Neodiprion lecontei: one gene and its partner. The main gene of each other region encodes a partner of the protein of the gene in region 2 in a complex. Links are inferred from orthologs where the notes say so. Each region holds a gene or a part of one and is shown on either strand. Other genes may lie near its edges.

Region 1 (4,261 bases), about 14 Mb from region 2:
TGTCCCCGATCACTTGTCATTCATCAAGGATAGTTTGCTTATTGGTTATTGTATACTTCTCAAAGATTATATTTTGATTTTTAATAACTTCTGTATAGCCTTTACTAATCTAGTCGGTATTTAGTAATCATCAAATAATATTGTATTACATTGATATTCTAAAGAAGAAAACGAAAAAAAACGTGTGAATTTAGCATGTGTCTATATTAGCTGTAAGAGATCACATTTCTCGCTAGACATTCCTGACTGTTCTTCAAATATTCGTGTAATAGTATAATAACGTGTATTTTATGCTTTCATCTACTTATACTTAACCTTACATATGTAATGTAAATATGTATATAATTAAAATTATTTGAATTAATTTAATATTCCGTAATAAAAGTGTTATATCAAAAATAATCGATAAATCAACAGCAATTTGGTGTACGGCTAATTTCTGTAGAATTAATGAAATGAGTATTCGTTCAACTTAAACTTAAATGGATTAGAAAGGAAATAACATGTGAAAGGAGTGAAGAGGACTTCCATGATACACTAATGTATTAAAATTTTCCAAAAGTCAAACACTGATCGAAGTAATATCAGAAATAATGCTTTATTTTTCTAACTGTAATTCAAAGGCAGTACAATATAGTGAGACAATACTTTCGAATTTCATAGTATTTGAAATCTATAATGCTGAAAATAACAATAAATAAGTTTAAGAAAAAAAGTGTTCTGGGGCTTGGGTAGGTGAAATCGACCATTAAAAATAAAACTGCCAGAACTCATCTATCATTTAAAAAACAAATTAAAAATCGAGGTAGAGAACAAGATATTCAATCTGCCTGCAATTGTTCGCTTATTATGACTTGCGACTTAAAATATCTTGATTTCGTTTTTATACTTCAAGAAATTGTATCAGCAATTTAAAACTTAAATGCGATAATAAAATTTTCCTCTTTTCGATATAATAAAATCAATATTAACAATCAGAGGCTAGTCGCGTTGGTCAAGCACCTGTCTGCAAAGAACGTGTGTTTCTTCCTGTTAACTTTATTGTGCGTATCAACTTTGCTAAAGAATTTAGATATCTTTTGATTATTCGGGGGAGATTCTTCGTCGTTGACCTCTTCCCAATCAACAGGTAGAGCGCTTGACTCAAGAATTTTCTCAGCTGTCGACCAACTGAACCTGACTAATTGCGGGAAGCCAAAAACTTGATCGATGTTCTGAGTGAGCCATTTTTTTGTTACAGGATCATTTGGGTACCCACTACCATACTCGTTCTCGTTTTCACCCTCCCTAAATTGCCACGCTCTCAGCGCATGGTCCCTGGATACTTTGGCACAGATACTAGCCGCACTAACGATAGGATAAGTGGAGTCAGCCTTTTTTGCAACGGTTATTTTAAGTTCGGGAAATATCTCCTTCAGTTTTGCTTGATATTTTTCAGGTTTTCCAACAGTGTCAACGTAGACCTCGGCAAGATTGACTCCCGCCTCTATCGCCCTCCTGATCAATCCGATTGCAGAGTTCATCGATACCTCGTTAAGCGTAACTTTGCTACGCCTGTACATGCTGTTCGCTATGACATTGGGTGATATTACTTCTACTGCCCAGCCCATTTTATCGTCATTTTCACATATCTTGTCGAAAATTGCGTCCCTTTGATCCTCAGTCAGGGTCTTCGAATCCGCACAGCCCAAGTCCACCAGCAGTTGCTTTTCGCTCAACGGAGCGTACGAAATTCCGTAAACCATCGGACCCAGAACCGGACCTCGACCCGCCTCGTCTACTCCCAGCTGACATGGTTCTGTGCGACAAATTTGCGGCACCTGAAAGGAGTGAAACTCAACTTTATTTGATTCACAGACCTTGTATTTCTTATTGTATATTTTTCATAATGTTGTAGTCCCATACGAATAGAGAATTTCAAAATTAAAATTTAGCATCATGATGTGCAATAAGTAAATAGTATCGTGATTATTACGTGTGACAATACGTTAATTCAATTTTAAATATAGGCAATTTCTTGTTTGGAAAACCGTTGAACGTGATCCACTTTGTAATTATAACCTCAAAGCCGCGACGTTTGATCGTCTATCGGTGAGACCGAGAATGATTTCTGTAGAAACTAAAAGAAAGAATACCTTTGAAACGTGTATTTTATTCACACTATGATCACTGTTTACAAAATACGGTGTCAAATCGGCTCTGGACGTGATGTGATCGACACCGTTTATTGATTCAGCTTCGTTTGGTTCCACTGCAAATTCTGATTTCTGTTCGTCTTCACTCATGATTTTCAGCAGTTTATTATAAAGAATGTTGAAGTGAAAATATTGAGAAACCAAAACAAGAGAATAGCTTTTTTTCTCTAGTTGTTTACCGCGTGTAAGTTTTTGGCGCGCAGGAGTGAGGGCGGCTAGACTAAATTCTGAAGAAAATAAACTAGCCTTTTGTTCGTCAAAATTCGGCGCCTGAAGTAATTTCTCTTTCTACCACGAGCAGCGCCTTAAGATTATAGCTAGAGCTAGATAGTCAAATGTTTCAGGTATGCATGGATAATAATGTTTTGGGTTCGTATATAAGCTGATTAATTATTTTCATGACATTATTTTTCGATTAAAACGATACGATCAATAAATTTTCCGCCGAAGTAGTGCTAGAACACGGCTAGAGTAACAGGTGGCCGCAAGTTACAGGCGGCGGCCATATTCTGCACGATTGATAGCAAGGTCGTTCACTGAAATATTCCTCAGTCAACGGCAAGGTTCAGACCAGTCTTGACATCGAAGCGACATCAGAATAAACGAAATACATCAATATATACCACATTTCTATGCGAGTATGCGTTCTTGAGTCGTCGTATACTTCATGGCGATAATATTGGACAAAAATTGAGGGTTGCTTTGTGCCTTCACCTGTCGTCAGCAGCAGCAGCAGTAGTAGAAAAAATTGCGTTAACGAATCTAACCTGGAATCCAACCTAGGTGTAGGACAGATTGCTTTAATCGTTTAATTATTGCGAGGTATTGGATATTTAAATTAAGATGAGTCAACGTTGACACAGTTCTACCCCCGCCGTTCTGTGTTAAATTAATTCAAACATGAAAATCGTTGTGAAAATTCTACAGGGAAGAGAGTGTGTAGTTGACGTGAGTACGAGTTGTCTTTATATTGTCAAATCGTCAATATTGACATGTTTTTATGAGTATTCACCTTTTGTATTTTCCTTGCCACATTTCAATCACAAATTCGTAGTCAGATTTCATCACCCAACGTTCCAAACCACCCCGCAAAAGTTTCGAGAACATTGGTAAAGACTAATGCTCTCTTTCTTTGGAGCATTTTTTTTTATCAATCAGACGTACGGAAGGTATTCATTATTAAACATTCTCCGAATTATTCACATTTTTTTTTTGTTATTTCCAGCATTCCAACAATTCCGTTAATTTGTCATTAATTCACCATCCATCGTTTCAGATATTGCCGTCAAACACAGTCCTCGAGTTGAAACATAAAGTTAGTGAATCATTAGGAATCGCTGTACCGCATCAGAAGTTGATTCATACAGGAAAGGCCCTTGCAGGTACGAATAATCTGCAATTATCATTGCTCAAAAATCATTAAATTTAAATGGTTTCTAGTAATAAACGAGAAATTGCTTCAAATTTGGTTCAAAATATCTTTAAAGTTGATCCTAAAAAATTTCGTCGTTTCAGACGACCAGCTTCTGAGTTTTTATCCAACGATAAAAGACGGTTGCAAGTTAAATTTATTTGTAAAGAAGCAAATTCAAAGTGAGGGTAAGAGTGCTCAAGGTGATACTGGCATCCAATTATTCAGAAGCGAGATGTCAAGAGTCTTGAGGCATTATTATACAGAATCTGAAACACAGTCGATAATTAATGAGTTTATGAAAGACTTAAAAAAGAAAGTAGACGGCTTGAGCTATGACGACTTGGAAAGATTAGCAACGGCTCTGCTTCAGGATCAAGAAAGTACCACTTGAAGAAATTTTCCTTGGATTTTTTTCTGCAGAATACCTTCAATCATTCGTTTGTTAATTTTTAATAAAACTCTGCATCTAGAAAATTTTTAATTGTAAGGTTTTCCGTGCTTTTTGAAAAGTGAATGATGTTTTCTTGTACTGCTCACTTTTACAAATTAATTCTTTGCACTCTTTTTTAATTAATTATTTACAACAAATTTTCTATACATTCGTCCGTTTTACGCATTAATTTCCCTCTCATTTCACAAAATGGCAAACCCA
Region 2 (7,572 bases):
TCTACTGTGGAATTGAGAAAAATGTGCTTAACGTGTCATAATGGAATTGTGACATTGGTCTACACTTTGAACCGCGGCATATTTAGAAACAATTATTTCAACCAATTGTGGCAGTCAAATTTGATAATTTAAGTATACAGCTAAAGTATTTACAGAGGTTCTTACAGTCAGGTCTCTTTTAGTGGGTAATTTATTATGGCGCAATATCTAAATTAAGCATTTCATGCCAACTGAATGAACGTCTAACCCTTATCATATTGACTTTTGAACACTACACATAATTTCACCATTTGACACTCTCAAAAAAAAAATGAAAAGATTTAATAGATAAAGATAAAAGGTACTCAACATCAGTGCAGAAGCCAGATTTCAATCAAGCTGGTTCGATGAAAAATTCAAGTAAATATGATGTAGCTCTTTCAATTTTCCTTGCAAATTATTATGAAACTACATAATTAACCTCAATTTTGGTTTGCAAGATTGAAGAAATTCAAAACTTTCTATGATCCAATGTTTTAACATAATCAAGAATCAGCATAATATGTACCGCAGAGGACTTATATTCAAGAGAAGTTTGAAATATCTATGTATTATAATTATCTAACCAAACTGCTTCAGAAGCAAGTCTCCTCACGAAACTACGTGCTGAAGATTGGGATTTCAGACGTTTTTCTAGTATATTTGTTCAGTAACCAATCCTGAAATTTTTTGCATACGAAGTTGAAAAGTTCAAGTGCAACTCATTCAATAATAACACAGATATCACGTCGTGAAAGAACTCCTTTCAAAATATTTTTTTCGTACTCGACAAATACTCATTACCACGAATAAATAATATTACTTTAGACATACTATTTTTCAACCCATGGTGGTGAAGGTCCTTTACGCTTATCCTTTGAACTCGAACTTGAAGTAGGCTTTCTGTCACTGGGGCCGAGTTTACCTCTTTTCAAAAAACCATGCATTGTGTTCAAAATTATATCGCTTGAACGTTGAATGATAGAAAACCGGCCAATGTATTAACTTCGCGCGTTCATACGTCAGTAAAAAAATTCACGGCATGCGCAAGATACGTTTTCCTATATTCATGATACTCGTGAGCATAGACTACAGGAATAACTAAAAACTGCCATAAGCAAAGGGATATCAAAGGGATATTACAAATAGAGACGCCAAGATGCGGCGATCAGCACAAGTAGAAAGTCGTGCTTGAGTCCCTATACAACAGGTCGTGCGAAGAGAAATAGTGAAAATCGATCAATTTTTATTTGCATACACACAAAACTGCTGACATTAATGTTACAATTTTTCATTAATAATTTTCCTCAATTTTATATATTGTTGTCAAATTTGGCTATTAACCCTAGAGGGATAAGATAATTTTTTTTTATGTACCTCGTTAAGTAAAAAAATGTCCCAATCTTGTAAATTCCATCTTTCTGGTACAACATATCGTTAAGGGTCCTATAAGGTCTCATTTTTTACAATTTTTAATAAAGAATCACGTAGGCCAAAAAAATTTTCGCTCAAGTTCCAAAAAAGTCCTCAAAATTGGTAACCGAAACACGAAAACGTTAGCCGTTCTTTTGCGGTGAGAAATTTACATTTGCGCGACGTGCCCCCCCCCCTCCCCCCCCCCCCGCCCCCGTTTCCGGTAAAGCAAATACTAGAGAGTTTAATTTTCCAACAAACAACATGCAATACATAACTAAATTAAGCAAATATGATAGGACGACTGAGTCATGAGATTCAATCAATCCAGCACTGGATGGCCTCTCGCATTTTCATATTTTCGGTACTAGAGGGCATTGCATGTGGTGTTCCGTCGAGTTATAGGAGATATTTTGTATGTTATGTTATGTTTTATACCTTGGCTGCACTTAGCAGTGAAAATGGTATTGCCGAACCTGCGGACAGGCCGACGGCCGGGTACTGGGTAGTTGTTAAAAATGGCCGACTTCTGAACTTTATTCCTGTATGTCTCCCCCATTACATTAAATAAAAATCAGCATTAATTATCAATTTTGTCAATTGACAACGTTGAGTAACATGCCGCGTGTCAAAGCCTCGCCGAAAAAATGCGTCAAAACGTCCAATACGCACCCGGCAGCCAACACTTGGGTGTTCCTTATGAAAGGTAAATAAAAAAAAAAGAGAATAAATAAATCAAACAACTGGCCAACTGTAGGGTAAAAATTAGCTGCAATCAATTTTTTCACCCGTTTCTTTTCCCAACACCATTATTCTCATGAATTTTTAGTCCTATGCTATTTCTTTTTATACCTGGATCAATACTATCATCGATCAAAGAACGATGCTGGTTGTTATTCTTTATGTAATTACAAAAGACTGCTACTGTCCTTCCACAATTGTTTGACCAGCATCAATTTACTGAACTTACACAAATTCCCTCCAGGAAAAATCTGAAATTACTTATTTTTTCAAATGTAAATGCCCTGTCGTCTAGTTTGTTATGTTTTGAAATGCAAATGAAAGTTCATAATTCGGCTAGAAAACTGGGGCATTGTATGAATTCGGTACCTACTAAAAAATTGTATGCATGAACATTTTACATTTTCCCAATTCATTTTGTTGTGTCACTCTATTTCATTGATTTGTTTTTTCAGGTGATGGCTTAGAGAATACCGACGGTAGTTCTCCGGATGTAGTTAAACTCAGACACCCAGCCTCCAACCAACCGGCTATGTTTGTATTCAGCCCAGGTGATACCACCGTTCAAGAAGTTTTAACCTTTGACGAGAATAAAAGATCATGGTTCATAGACGACAATGTCAAGTCAGATGGAAAGATGCATTTGTCGACGCCAATTGATCCAATATTCTTGGTTTTACCATATCTAAGGAAGGTAAGTGTTCATGCCAATCATTATTTCATAATTCAAGACTAAACTATGTGATTAATAGGAATAGGTGGAACCTTACGATGAAACTTCACATCACAAATTGATGTACAATTTATATTTCATTTCAGTCACAACAAGTAATGCCTCTTGACCAAATTCTTCGTGATGAAGATTACCCAGGAACATCCCGCCTTGCACGATGTCAAAATCTAAAACTATCTTTGATCGCAGATCGTAAGGGGGACGAGGAACTGCAAGCTTTCAAGTTTAACGAAGACAAAGCAATGGTCTGGCTTCAAAAAAAAGTTGGGCGAGTCGCAGAAATACTTAGGCAGAAAGGTGTACACGTATCCCAAGGAGCTGTTAGTGCTACCTATGTTAAAAGCAACAAACACGAATCTGGCACAGAAGTTGGTGAGAATCTGGATAGGAATTCTCATTTTCTATTGATCAAATTATGGACTCGACATGCAATAACACATTTATATCCCGTGATATATAAATGTTTGATTTTACTAACTTAATCAATAATAACAGTCTCAATTTCTTTCAGAATATCTTAAGTATGCACATGGCATCGTTTCGGAATACCTTGCTGAAGACTTGTCTAAAAAACTAGCCCAACACTTAAGTCTGCCCGATGATCCAGAAAATAAAAAACGAAAGTCAAACAGTCCAAAGGAAAGTAGCGACGATAAGAAAGCTAAAAAAGACACACCAGAGTCAGAGTCTATCCCAAGAAATGGAGCACTAGACTTAACAAAACCTGAAAAGGTATGTACGTATGCTAAATTATAGAAAATTTGAAAATCTCGGGGATTTGTTTTCATATGACAACTTTTTAATAGATCTCACAGAATTAGGTGAAAAATTCATTGTGCAAGCTTTCTAGACACTTTGTTCTTTGCATATAAAAATTTTATATGCATTTAAAACAGAGAAACCTTTTTTCCATTAAACGAAAATTGAAGCCAATACAACCAATTCAAAACTACAACGATGTGACGTCACCCGTGCTAAGGTAAATTTATATATTACAGAATCAGTGAAACTCAATTGCTTGTAACATCTGCAATCATCTTTTTTGACAAAAAACAAAAAATTCCACCATATTGTTTTACATTTCTCTGCTTTATATTCATCTAAAAAATGTATTTTCTTTTTTTCCATGCAAAGACCTAATTTTGTACGGCTTTCTAATGATATATCGGTTCATAGTTTATGATGTGACAAGCATGATGAACATTGCTGTCCCAGATTGAATATAAAATAAGTTTTCAATAAACCCAGAAAAAGTGACTTTTATAAGTGAAAATCATTCCTTGTTTGACAATTATTCTGAAGTATAAAGAACTGATTACAAACCCTGACAACATTTAGTTTTTGTAACCTCTCATGCAAAATTTATTTTGTAACTTAAAGACATAAGTGAGCGAACTTAGATTGTAGGGCTGCGGATCAGGTGGCAAATATCTTCGGATACACTAGCTGTGTAAAAAGTATCATGACATGATCATCAAGCAGTCGTTTGTATCATTAACGAAATTTATTTATTGATTTCTTAGACTCTAAACAGAGTTAACAATATCTATTTATGCATTGGAAAGGTTGCTTTAATTCAGGAAATTCTAACCAATTTGTTGAAACAGTATGAAAACTAGTTTTGTTCTCATTAGCTGGCTTGTTGGAAGACTTGCATCTGAGAACTCATAACTCGTCAAATCTTGTCTTCATTATGTTTCACTGAGGCGACTTGTTTCTTCAGGGGAGGGCATTATCTCACTCAACAATCGATGTTCATAATAAAACAGATTTCAATAACTTTCAGTATTTATCAAAGATATACATCTTGTATGACAGTAAAAAATTACATTTTCGTAATGAACCTTGAATGAAGAGCAGGAATATTCCAATCCTAAACCATATAAAATTATTTCATAACTGTCTTTATTTTGATAATCATAGCAAATGTTTTTCCTGTTTTCCCTGTACTCTGAATATACATATACTCGTTATAACAAAAAATATACATTTTATACCAGCAATTTAAAGTCAACTTTTCCTTCATTGAAATGCATTGCCAATTGAAATATTATACTTCCACATTAGTAAGCTCAATGGATAATAAATTGTGAACACTTACTGGTCAAATGCTTGATGAATTTCTAAAACAAACGTAGGCCTTAGCACTTGTGAAATAGGAATCAAACAAATGACTCGATCGGGTAGTCTTATATTAATTTTGGTTATGAAATATAGTTTCGCTATAAATTTACATGAAATGAGCTCACAGTGACAGTGAATTAAAATGTATCAGTTACCAGAGCTAAGTGTCAGATTATTTTAAAAATATCTTTTCAAATATTGTAGCCCCAAAAACCTCTGACCATTTCGAAGAAAGAGATGTCCAGACAGAAGGCAGCAGCTGGTTCAAAGAATATTTCGAGTTTTTTTAAGAAGAAATGAGCGGTGACCAAGTCAACGAAACAATCAATCGCCAGTTGGTTTTCCAAATTTATAAGAGATCTTCAAAATATTCTGAGAAGTCTCTGCGTTCCTATTGGTGTTAAACTTTAGATTTGAATTGGTAAAAATATCTGAAGGAAATTTGAAGGTTAAGCAATGTTCAATTATCTACTTACATTGTTGGAAAAATAGCCCAGAAAACCCCGCAATTGTTAATCTAGAATGGTAATCAATCATCACAATGGATTCATAATATATAATTTGATCTCACCTGTCAAACGTAATTCAAAATCTGCGTCAGTTAACTGTTGCTCAAAATATTTCAACGAAAATTAGTCATTTATTCCATTAAATGCATAAGTAAGATTTATTTTATATTAACACATTTCACGATTATCGAATTATATTTTATTATTACTCTTACATAGAGTTTGATTCCTTCGATTTTCTTTTCCTGATACAAAAGTATTCAACATTTGGGATGAATTTCGAATTAATTAAAAAGAAAAGATTCAAGACTTAGGGTGTTGATCTGCGAAGATTAATACATCAAGTGAAAAGTAAACACTCGACGTTTTTTGAAGACATTTATCCTGTACTGTTGCAATGTTTAACTTAGAATACGTTAGATATAAAATTCTAGTATTACGCATTTTACGCAATAAGGAGCTAACAAACGAATCCTACAATTGAAACTTGTGTAATACTTAAAATAGAAAAAGAAAAAAAGCGAGTGTTTTTTTGTCTCATATATTTTGTAATATTATAGCCTTTTCATTATTGGTTGGTTAGCTCCTTTTTGCTTCCTATAATATCCTTTATTTTAAAAGACTGTCCGAAAAAGCAATAATTTTTTTCGTAACCAATATTTAAAATTGTCAGAAAATTTCTTCCTCACTAATTGTAATTTTTCAAAGCCAAAGTTGCAAAAGTCATATTAGGGTAATATTGAAATGTTATAATAATCTAGAATATAGCATATTTTACGATTATCATGCAGTTCTATTGAAAAACTCGCAGCTATGTTACACGCAGGAAATCCAAATCAAGAATCGACTTTTGCTACTTTAAATTGAAGTCATTCATCTGGATATCTGAACTGTGTTATATCCAGTATTTATTGCATATTTTTATGATTTCTATTTGTGAATTCGTATCTAGAGTCATGCACTTCATTTTTATTTTCTCAAATACTTGAAAACAGCTACCTTCAATGCTAATTGTCATTTACTGTGGATTTGCATCCTATTAACAATGACATGTGTTTGAGTTCCACCTGATGCATGAAGGATATTAATGTAAATATATGATTGTTTTTAAATTATGTAAACGATATCTGATGGTTACTGTAATTTGAAACAGAAAACCGCTGACACTGAGGTACAGCATATTTGATATCTGTATATGTGGAGTCACATAAATTATCCCATGTGTTTAGTTTGAACAGTATACGAATATTTTGTACTTTATTTTATATATTGCGTCGAATCGACTTTCCCGTTTTGTCATTTTAATGAAAACTACAATTTTATATTTGTCGTACTTAATTAGTGATGAATATTATTGATGATTAGTTGGAGGTGTCGATTGTGATAGCTCTATGAAAAGTTTCGAATTAGAAGTATGTATGAGTCGAAAAGAGTGTATGAGGATAAGTGATAAGTATTTGTTTTTGTCCTGGCTGTACGATGAAATATTATGTCAATATTGTAGATGTAATATAATAATATACATTCAGAAACAGCTATGCTGTATCCCTATCTCTGTCCATGAAAAGCTCATTTACTTTCAAGAAGAACACGTCAAACATATAAAATATGGTTGAAATTATGACTGAATATCTTGTAATCTGACTAAAAAACACATAAAGAAACTTCAGTGACTTGACTCAAATTAATCGATACATTCTTGATCAACATGCACGGTTTTTATTTCATGTTAGATATTTTATTAAATATTTATTTAAATTAATCGACACATTCTTGATCAAGATACACGGTTTTTATTTTATGTTAGACATTTTATTAAATATTTACATGTTACAAACAATGAATTACAGGCGTAATTACTTTAATATCATCTCATCTTGAGCCAATTCCGAGAATAGCCTCTCATGTAATCGACATAGGTTCACTCTTCGGCTCTGTAGCTTCAATATCCCTGCATTTGGCATGTTGCAGTTCTCTCCGTACTTCACCAGTAATCGAGTGATGTGATTGTTTCTTCAATAATTCCAGCAGAGC

Evidence for each region. Proteins that work in one complex are often made in the same cells at the same time.
Region 1: the proteins of ribonuclease H2 subunit B (region 2) and ribonuclease H2 subunit A are in contact, whole or in part, in a crystal structure (PDB 3PUF), measured with the Homo sapiens proteins. The link is inferred for Neodiprion lecontei from reciprocal best matches to the Homo sapiens genes RNASEH2B and RNASEH2A. Residues at the interface, in NP_078846.2 of Homo sapiens: His16, Phe18, Lys39, Asn42, Gly48, Ala49, Ile50, Val63, Lys64, Val65, Phe66, Lys67, His70, Phe74, Val79, His86, Phe87, Val183, Tyr211, Gly214, Leu215, Asp218, Tyr219; in NP_006388.2 of Homo sapiens: Val227, Phe228, Ile253, Trp254, Glu255, Ser284, His285, Tyr287, Phe288, Arg291, Gly292, Leu293, Glu294, Ser295, Ala296, Thr297, Ser298, Leu299.

What each region holds. Positions count from the first base shown.
Region 1 is NC_060263.1:39,232,519-39,236,779, forward strand, and holds ribonuclease H2 subunit A, read right to left. Parts: upstream 2,708-4,261; 5' UTR 2,286-2,707; coding exon 2,136-2,285; intron 1,821-2,135; coding exon 975-1,820; 3' UTR 580-974; downstream 1-579. Other genes in the region: ubiquitin-like protein 4A, read left to right, coding at 3,096-3,143, 3,472-3,577, 3,711-4,000. UniProt on the Homo sapiens protein: Catalytic subunit of RNase HII, an endonuclease that specifically degrades the RNA of RNA:DNA hybrids. Participates in DNA replication, possibly by mediating the removal of lagging-strand Okazaki fragment RNA primers during DNA replication.
Region 2 is NC_060263.1:25,725,120-25,732,691, forward strand, and holds ribonuclease H2 subunit B, read left to right. Parts: upstream 1-1,872; 5' UTR 1,873-2,049; coding exon 2,050-2,137; intron 2,138-2,627; coding exon 2,628-2,866; intron 2,867-2,991; coding exon 2,992-3,277; intron 3,278-3,416; coding exon 3,417-3,637; intron 3,638-3,711; coding exon of another isoform or gene 3,712-3,726; exon of another isoform or gene 3,727-3,801; coding exon 3,802-3,884; intron 3,885-5,233; coding exon 5,234-5,249; coding exon of another isoform or gene 5,250-5,329; 3' UTR 5,330-7,072; downstream 7,073-7,572. Other genes in the region: replication factor C subunit 4, read right to left, coding at 1-4, 853-965; bystin, read right to left, coding at 7,441-7,572. UniProt on the Homo sapiens protein: Non catalytic subunit of RNase H2, an endonuclease that specifically degrades the RNA of RNA:DNA hybrids. Participates in DNA replication, possibly by mediating the removal of lagging-strand Okazaki fragment RNA primers during DNA replication.